Linked DNA regions of Macaca fascicularis. The main gene of each other region encodes a partner of the protein of the gene in region 2 in a complex. Links are inferred from orthologs where the notes say so. Each region holds a gene or a part of one and is shown on either strand. Other genes may lie near its edges.

Region 1 (3,815 bases), on a different chromosome or scaffold from region 2:
GGGAGAGAAGGTAGAAGGGTATTTACATCTTGCATGAACTTGCGGCAGACTGGACGGATCTCTTTGCTCAAGGTAGCACTGAACATCATGACCTGCTTCTCGTGGGGGGTCATGCGAAAAATTTCCTGGACATCCCGACGCATGTCTACAAGAACAAGGAAAAAAATTGTAGGAGAAAATAAGCAAGTATGATAAACAAAGATTAGAGGTAGACTTTCCAGTGAGGTGAAGATTGCTGGAAATAGTAATAACACAACGGAAAAAGCAATGGACTTGGAATCAAGAATTGGGATCAGATTCCAGCTGTTCGTTTTAACCAAGCAAGAAATAAGATAAAACCCCAAAGTTCCCAACTATAAAACGGGGACAAAGCCCAGTGCAGACGCTCTCAAGGCCTTCGAAACATGCTTTACAGGCCCTTCTCCCAATCCTTTCCTGTCCAAGCCCCAGCCAGCCCTCAGGAGACTACAAGTATCAACCATATATTACATTCCAGGTAGCAGAGTCCATCTATGACTCTCTGGATCACTTTTCTATCAACTCAGGCAAATATGACATTGCTACCTGGAGCCCACCTTTATAACTCACCACACTGAATTGCCGAAGACCATTTGTAATGACTTATGGGGCCTATGTCCAACCCCACACTCATTCACCAAGATTCAAATCTTACAGAAAAAACTTCCATTAACCCCACTTGGCACACTAGAATACCACACCACACGAACTGCTACCCTCTCTACATTAATCCCAGACCTGAGTCTAGAAACTTATTCAGCTATAAATTCTGACTGTAAATGCTGTGCTGGAGATGCCAGAAGGGTACTGTCTTCTCTTTCAGTTTAGAATCTCCCCTATGACTTCCAGTATAGGAATCTATAATGAAAACGGTGGTGGTGGTGATAACTTAGGCCTGAAATTACCGAAGTCCCCTATTCTCAAAGATTAAAAACAAAAATCATAGAAAGATGATAGATGACATCCTTTACTGTGCTTAAAAGCATAATAAAGCCCAACCAGGGAACCCAGAGCCATCAGTCATGGGTGATAGATAAGAGTCGTCCTTGCACTGAGGCGCTCCTGTTTCAAATAAACATCATTTGGCTCCAAAGAACAACTCCCCAGCATTAGCCAAGTCCCAGCACTGCCACTCACCGAGCTGTTCAAGCATCTTATCACATTCATCCAAAATAAAGTGTTTAATGTGTTTGAGGTTGAGGCTCTTATTTCGAGCCAGGGCTAGGATACGGCCTGGAGTCCCCACGACGATATGCGGGCAGTTCTTCTTCAGCACCTCTTCATCCTTCTTGATAGACAGACCACCAAAAAAAACAGCAACCTGCCGAGAGCCAGGAGCAAAGAGTCTCAAAAAAGAGGAAGGAAAGAGTCCAATCCCCCCAGAGTTCCCACTGTTTGAGCTAAACCAATTTTTAGCATGTTTCAAAACTAAAACTAACTCTAGAGGTCACCTAATTTAGAAATGTTATGTCCCCCCACCAAACACTGAGGGTGACTGCCTAAAGTTACATAGCTAGTCGGAGCAGTCAGGACAATAATTCAGTTCTTCTGACTTAATCTAACCATCTTCCTTCATTTATGAGGCCAAGCCTCATTTTAAAAATAAAGGAGTCAGGTGTGGTGGCGCACGCCTATAACTCCAGCTACTCGGGAGGCAGAGGTTGCGGTGAACCAAGATCTCACCATTGTACTCCAGCCTGGGCAACAAGAGTGATATTCCGTCTCTAAATAAATAAATAAATAAATAAAATAAAGCCAGGCCCGGTGGTTCACGCCTGTAATCCCAGCAGTTTGGGAAGTCGAGGCAGGTGGATCACTTGAAGCCAGGCGTTCAAGACCAGCCTGGCCAACATGGTGAAACCCCATCTCTTCTAAAATACAATATTTACAAATTTACTACTAAAATACAAAAACTACAAAACTTAGCCAGGAGGCTGAGGAAGGAGAATCGCTTGAATGCAGGAAGTGGAGATTGCAGTGAGGCGAGATTGAGCCATTGTACTCCAGGCTAGATGACAGAGCGAGACTCCATCTCAAAAAATAAAAAATAAATAAATAAAGGACGGCAAGAAATTACCAGGATTAGTATAAAGTACCACAAAAAAACACATGGAACATTAAGTTTTCCTAAATAAACCCAGAATCTCAAACTCCTTCATACAAACCCCATGAAATTACTGCTTTGGGTGAAATATTATCACTTCATGTTAAAACCATTAGGTGAATAGTTGGTTAGGGATCTGGGCCTTGGTACAGTGTCAAATAACACCAGAAACTCTAGTTTTAAGGGGGAAAAGAATGACCATGGAATCAGACTGTCACGATGCTAATCCTATGGTAAACCTAAAATCACTAATGAGGCCAGGCACAGTGGCTCACACCTGTAATCCCAGCACTTTGGGAGGCCGAGGTGGGTGGATCACTTGAGGTCAGGAGTTCGAGACCAGCCTGGCCAACATGGCGAAACCCTGTCACTACCAAAAAAAAAAAAAAAAAATTAGCCGGGTATGATGGCACACTGTAGTCCCAGCCACTCAGCAGGTTGAAGCAGGAGAATCGCTTGAACCTGGGAGGTGCAGGCTGCAGTGAGCTGAGATCGCACCACTACACTCACAGCCCAGGGGACGCAGCAAGACTCCATCTCAAAACAAATAAATAAAAATAAAAATAACTAACATAAGTCAACCCGATTTCTGGCACAACAGGAGATACAGCATCACCTATGAAGGATAATTGCCAAAAATGCTTAACTTCAATCAGATTTTTTTTTTTGAGATGGGAGTCTCACTCTGTCACCCAGGCTGGAGTGTAGTGGCACAATCTCAGCTCACTATAACCTCTGCTTCCTGGGTTCAAGCGATTCTCCTGCCTCAGCCTCCCAAGTAGGTAGGACTACAGGTGTGTGCCACCACGCCCGGCTAATTTTTGCATTTTTAGTAGAGACAGGGTTTCATCGCATTGGCCACACTGGTCTCGAACTCCTGACCTCAAATGATCCACATGCCTTGGCCTCCCAAAGTGCTGAGATTACAGGTGTAAGCCGCTGCGCACTTGGCCAGAATCCTCAATATTCACACACCCCTGAAGCTGTTTTAAAGTTTCTGGCTTTCTCTGCCACACACCCCAAAATTACCAAACTGATAGGATTCAAAGTCAGTATAAAGTAGTAAAAAAAGGGTGGTCTCGGTTAAGCATCATCCATAGCCCAATTACGAATCCTCCCGTTACATAGGATCTTAACACTGTTAAACCATGGCAAACTAAAACTTCTCCAAAATTAAAGAGACTACTGGCCTACAAGTTTCTTATCCCTCCAACTTGCCACACCCTCACTCTGAGGTCTCTTTACCTCGGCTTACCTTGACATTGGGCATGTATTTAGAGAAGCGCTCATATTCCTTGCTGATCTGAAAAGCCAACTCCCGAGTGTGACACATCACCAGCACAGACACCTTAGGCAGGAAGTAGACCGAGACATACCATGAGTGTAGCCCTTCATCGTTCCCTCTAGGGAAGTGACTGACAAAAACACACCTGGGCCGATAATAAATGACTTCAATTCTGTGATCTAAATCACGAACCCCATGCTTGGATAGAACATTCCCCACAGCTGTCAGGTTGTCAAGGGTAACCGAGGTCATCATGTAGCTAGGACAAAAACACCCTTCCCTTATAGTCCTAACCAAAACCCCTTCCCCAGCACTCTCCCCAAATATACCTGCCCAGTAACTGGCTCCAGCTGTTGCAGTGTGGCCAACACAAACACTGCTGTCTTTCCCATGCCCGACTTGGCCTGG
Region 2 (3,815 bases):
AGGCAGGAGAACTGCTTGAAGCTGGGAGGCAGAGGATGCGGTGAGCCAAGATCGAGATTGTGCCACTGCACTCTAGCCTGGGGGACAGAACGAGACTGTCTCCAAAAAAAAAAGAAGGGGATGAGGAGGAGAAAGGAGGAAGGTTAATTAAACCTTTTAACTCCTACCTCGTGGGTCTGATCTCTTCCTTTCTTCAACCTGATGTGGGCTAATCGGTTAAGCTTCTTTAGAGTCATGAAATGCACACAGCTCTGAATCCTCCGTTCTTCAATTTCGATTGCCTGTGAGCAAAGAAAACAGTAAAGCCCACTGAGACAGGGGCTCGCTCAGCTTCCTTCCGTCCCTCACCACCGACCCATCCTCATCTGGGGCCAAACATAGGCACTGGAGGGAGCCCAGAACCATGAGAAAAGTCATGAAGAAAATAAGAGGGATGGTTATATAAGGAAAACGCTTAAGAATCTCAGGCAAAAAAAAAGCAATTTCTGCTTGGACTAGAGTAACAGGAATTGAAGTTGGAATAAAGGCAGCGAAGGCACAATCTGTCTCTACAGATCCTACGCAGAGATCCCGGCAATAGTAACATCTTGCCATAAAATTTGACCTCTATAAATAACATTACAGGATAACTTAAATGGAAAATCACAGAATTATAGCCATAAAGCTTGGCTACAATAGATTGAATGCAATAATCGTAAGAAAACTTGTCAGCATAGGCACGAATATGTGCAATTCCTGGAAAAAAAATGGATTTTTTAAAAACTTATCAAGTTTTTAGTCACGTTGTTTAATTTATCTGCCCCTAAAACCTCATTTATTCACTTACTATTAATGATAATTTCATTTTTGGTGTCTATAATTTATTTATACATATCAATCTTTGTATCAAGCAAATGTATAAGTACTATTATCATTTCTCAACACCTAGCAAAATGCCTGGCACTTAATAAATATTAATTGGATAAATGATCAAATTAGTAGGGAAAAAATTAATTATCCTATACTTTCATTACTGTAATTGGTGACTGAGTGGTGATGAGAAGTTCCAATAAATTAATAGGTTTTGGGAGCCCTGAGGCTCCAGTCACCTGATCATGGCTAGGACAGAAGACCAAGATCAGGAAGGGCCCTGGTAGGTGCAAAAACAGCCTCATCTACGCATACCCACCAGGTTCACGGCCACGTGGTCCCCCTTCTTACCACATCCTTGCCACCCCTGCTCTTCAGGTCTTGGATCTCAGCCATCAGCCTCTGTAGCTCCTGGCAGGTATACTTGTATAACTCATAGTCTCTGCCAGGGTCCCGCAGATCCACCTCGGCCTCCTCACTGTAGTATTTACCTTCCTGTAGAGGTAAGGATAAAGGCTCTGTGTCCGTGAGGTAAAAGTCTCCCTGTTGGGATCAGGGACACTTGGCTGACATCTCGTTAGATAAAAACAGTAACAATGAAGCCCCAATCAGGTCTCTAAAAGATCTGGTCCTTAAATCAAATGCTTTTCTTCTCTTCAAAATAGAAACCTCTTTTGCTTTCTTTTTTTTTTTTTTTTTTTTTTTTGAGACGGAGTCTTGCTGTGTCGCCCAGGCTGGAGTGCAGTGGCGCAATCTCGGCTCACTGCAAGCTCCGCCTCCCGGGTTCACGCCATTCTCCTGCCTCAGCCTCCCGAGTAGCTGGGACTACAGGCACCCGCCACTGCGCCCGGCTAATTTTTTCTATTTTTAGTAGAGACGGGGTTTCACCATGGTCTCGATCTCCTGACCTTGTGATCCACCCGCCTCGGCCTCCCAAAGTGCTGGGATTACAGGCGTGAGCCACCGCGCCCGGCCCTCTTTTGCTTTCTGATTGCAGAGTAATGCATGCCTGATGTCAAAGATTCAGAATATACAGAGTAGTATCAAAAAGAAAACAGAAAAATTGCCTATAATTTCGCTTCAGTCCGAAACACCACCACTGTGAAGACTGTGGATAAATAAACATTTTATTTGTAAACAAAACGGGATCATATCATCTGTGCTGTTAAGTGCGACTTCCCATCTGTATTAGTCCACTTTCACGCTGCCAATAAAGACACACCTGAAACTGGGAACAAAAAAAGGTTTAATTGGACTTACAGTTCCACATAGCTGAGGAGGCCTCAGAATCATGGCGGGAGGTGAAAGGCACTTCTTACGTGGCAGCGGCAAGAGAAAAATGAGGAGGAAGCAAAAGCAGAAACCCCTTATAAACCCATCAGATGTCGCGAGACTTATTCACTATCATGAGAATAGCACGGGAAGGACTGGCCCCCATGATTCAATTACCTCCCTCTGGGTCCCTCCCACAACATGTGCCAATTCTGGGAGATACAATTAAAGTTGAGATTGAAAACCAAACCATATAATTCCGCCCCTGGCCCCTCCAAATCTCATGTCCTCACATTTCAAAACCAATCATGCCTTCCCAACAGTCGCCCAAAGTCTTAACTCATTTCAGCATTAACCCAAAAGTCCACAGTCCAAAATCTCATCTGAGACAAGGAAAGCCCCTTCCGCCTATGAGCCTGTAAAATCGAAAGCAAGCTAGTTACTTCCTAGATACAATGGGGGTACAATGGGGTGAATATAGCCATTCCAAATGGGAGAAATTGGCCAAAACAAAGGGGTTACAGAGCCCATGCAAGTCCAAAATCCAGCAGGACAGTCAAATTTTAAAGCTCCAAAATGATCTCCTTTGACTCCAAGTCTCACATCCAGGTCACGCTGATGCAAAAGGCGGGTTCCCATGGTCTTGGGCAGCTCTGCCCCTGTGGCTTTGCAGGATACATTCTCCCTCCCTCCTGGCTGCTTTCATAGGCTGGCATTGAGTGTCTGCAGCTTTTCCAGGTGCATTGCCCAAGCCATTGGTGGATCAACCATTCTAGGATCTGGAGGGACGGTGGCCCTCTTCTCACAGTTCCACTAGGCAGTGCCTCAGTAGGGACTCTGTGTGGGGACTCTAACCCCACATTCCCTTCCACACTGCCCTAGCAGAGGTTCTCCATGAGCACGCCAGCAGCAAACTTTTGCTTGGGAATCCAGGCGTCTCCATACATCTGAAATCCAGGCGGAGCAAATCTCCATTCTTGACTTCTGTGTACCCACAGGCTCAACACCACATGGAAGCTGCCAAAGCTTGGGGCTTCCACCCTCTGAAGCTACAGCCCAAGCTCTACATTGGCCCCTTTCAGCTATGCCTAGAGTGGCTGGGACACAGGGCACCAAGTCCCTAGGCTGCATACAGCACGGGGAACCTGGGACTGGCCCACAAAACCACTTTTTCCTCCTGGGCCTCTGGGCCTGTGATGGGAGGGGCTGCCATGAAGGTCTCTGACAAGGCCTAGAGACATGTTCCCCATGGTGTTGGAGATTAACATTAGGCTTCCTGCTACTTATGCAAATTTCTGCAACCAACTTGAATTTCTCCTCAAAAAACGGGTTTTTATTTTTTTATTTTTATTTTTTTTTAATTTTTTTATTTTTGAGACAGAGTCTCAGTCTTGTCACCCAGGCTGGAGTGCAGTGGCGTGATCTCAGTTAACTGCAAACTTCGCCTTCCAGGTTCAGGCAATTCTCCTGCTTCAGGCTCATGGGTAGCTGGGATTACAGGTACCTGCCACCAGGCCCGGCTAATTTCTGTATTTCTAGTAGAGATGGGGTTTCACCATGTTGCCCAGGCTAGTCTTGAACTCCTGACCCCAAGTGATCTGCCCACCTTGGCCTCCCAAAGTGCTGGGATTACAGGCGTGAGCCACTGCGCATAACCCAGTCACCTTTTGAAAGATTTGCTGCTTATAAATTTC

What was found.
Region 1: THOC5 (region 2) and DDX39B share a complex: the UniProt entries of both Homo sapiens proteins name them as parts of the transcription/export (TREX) complex. The link is inferred for Macaca fascicularis from reciprocal best matches to the Homo sapiens genes THOC5 and DDX39B.

Annotation. Positions count from the first base shown.
Region 1 is NC_088378.1:140,192,972-140,196,786, reverse strand, and holds part of DDX39B (spliceosome RNA helicase DDX39B), read right to left. Parts: coding exon 3,737-3,815; intron 3,471-3,736; coding exon 3,378-3,470; intron 1,340-3,377; coding exon 1,156-1,339; intron 1,106-1,155; exon of another isoform or gene 1,030-1,105; intron 146-1,029; coding exon 27-145; exon of another isoform or gene 1-26. UniProt on the Homo sapiens protein: Involved in nuclear export of spliced and unspliced mRNA. Component of the TREX complex which is thought to couple mRNA transcription, processing and nuclear export, and specifically associates with spliced mRNA and not with unspliced pre-mRNA.
Region 2 is NC_088384.1:22,130,132-22,133,946, reverse strand, and holds part of THOC5 (THO complex subunit 5), read right to left. Parts: intron 2,440-3,815; exon of another isoform or gene 2,143-2,439; coding exon of another isoform or gene 2,110-2,142; intron 1,345-2,109; coding exon 1,201-1,344; intron 282-1,200; coding exon 168-281; intron 1-167. UniProt on the Homo sapiens protein: Component of the THO subcomplex of the TREX complex which is thought to couple mRNA transcription, processing and nuclear export, and which specifically associates with spliced mRNA and not with unspliced pre-mRNA.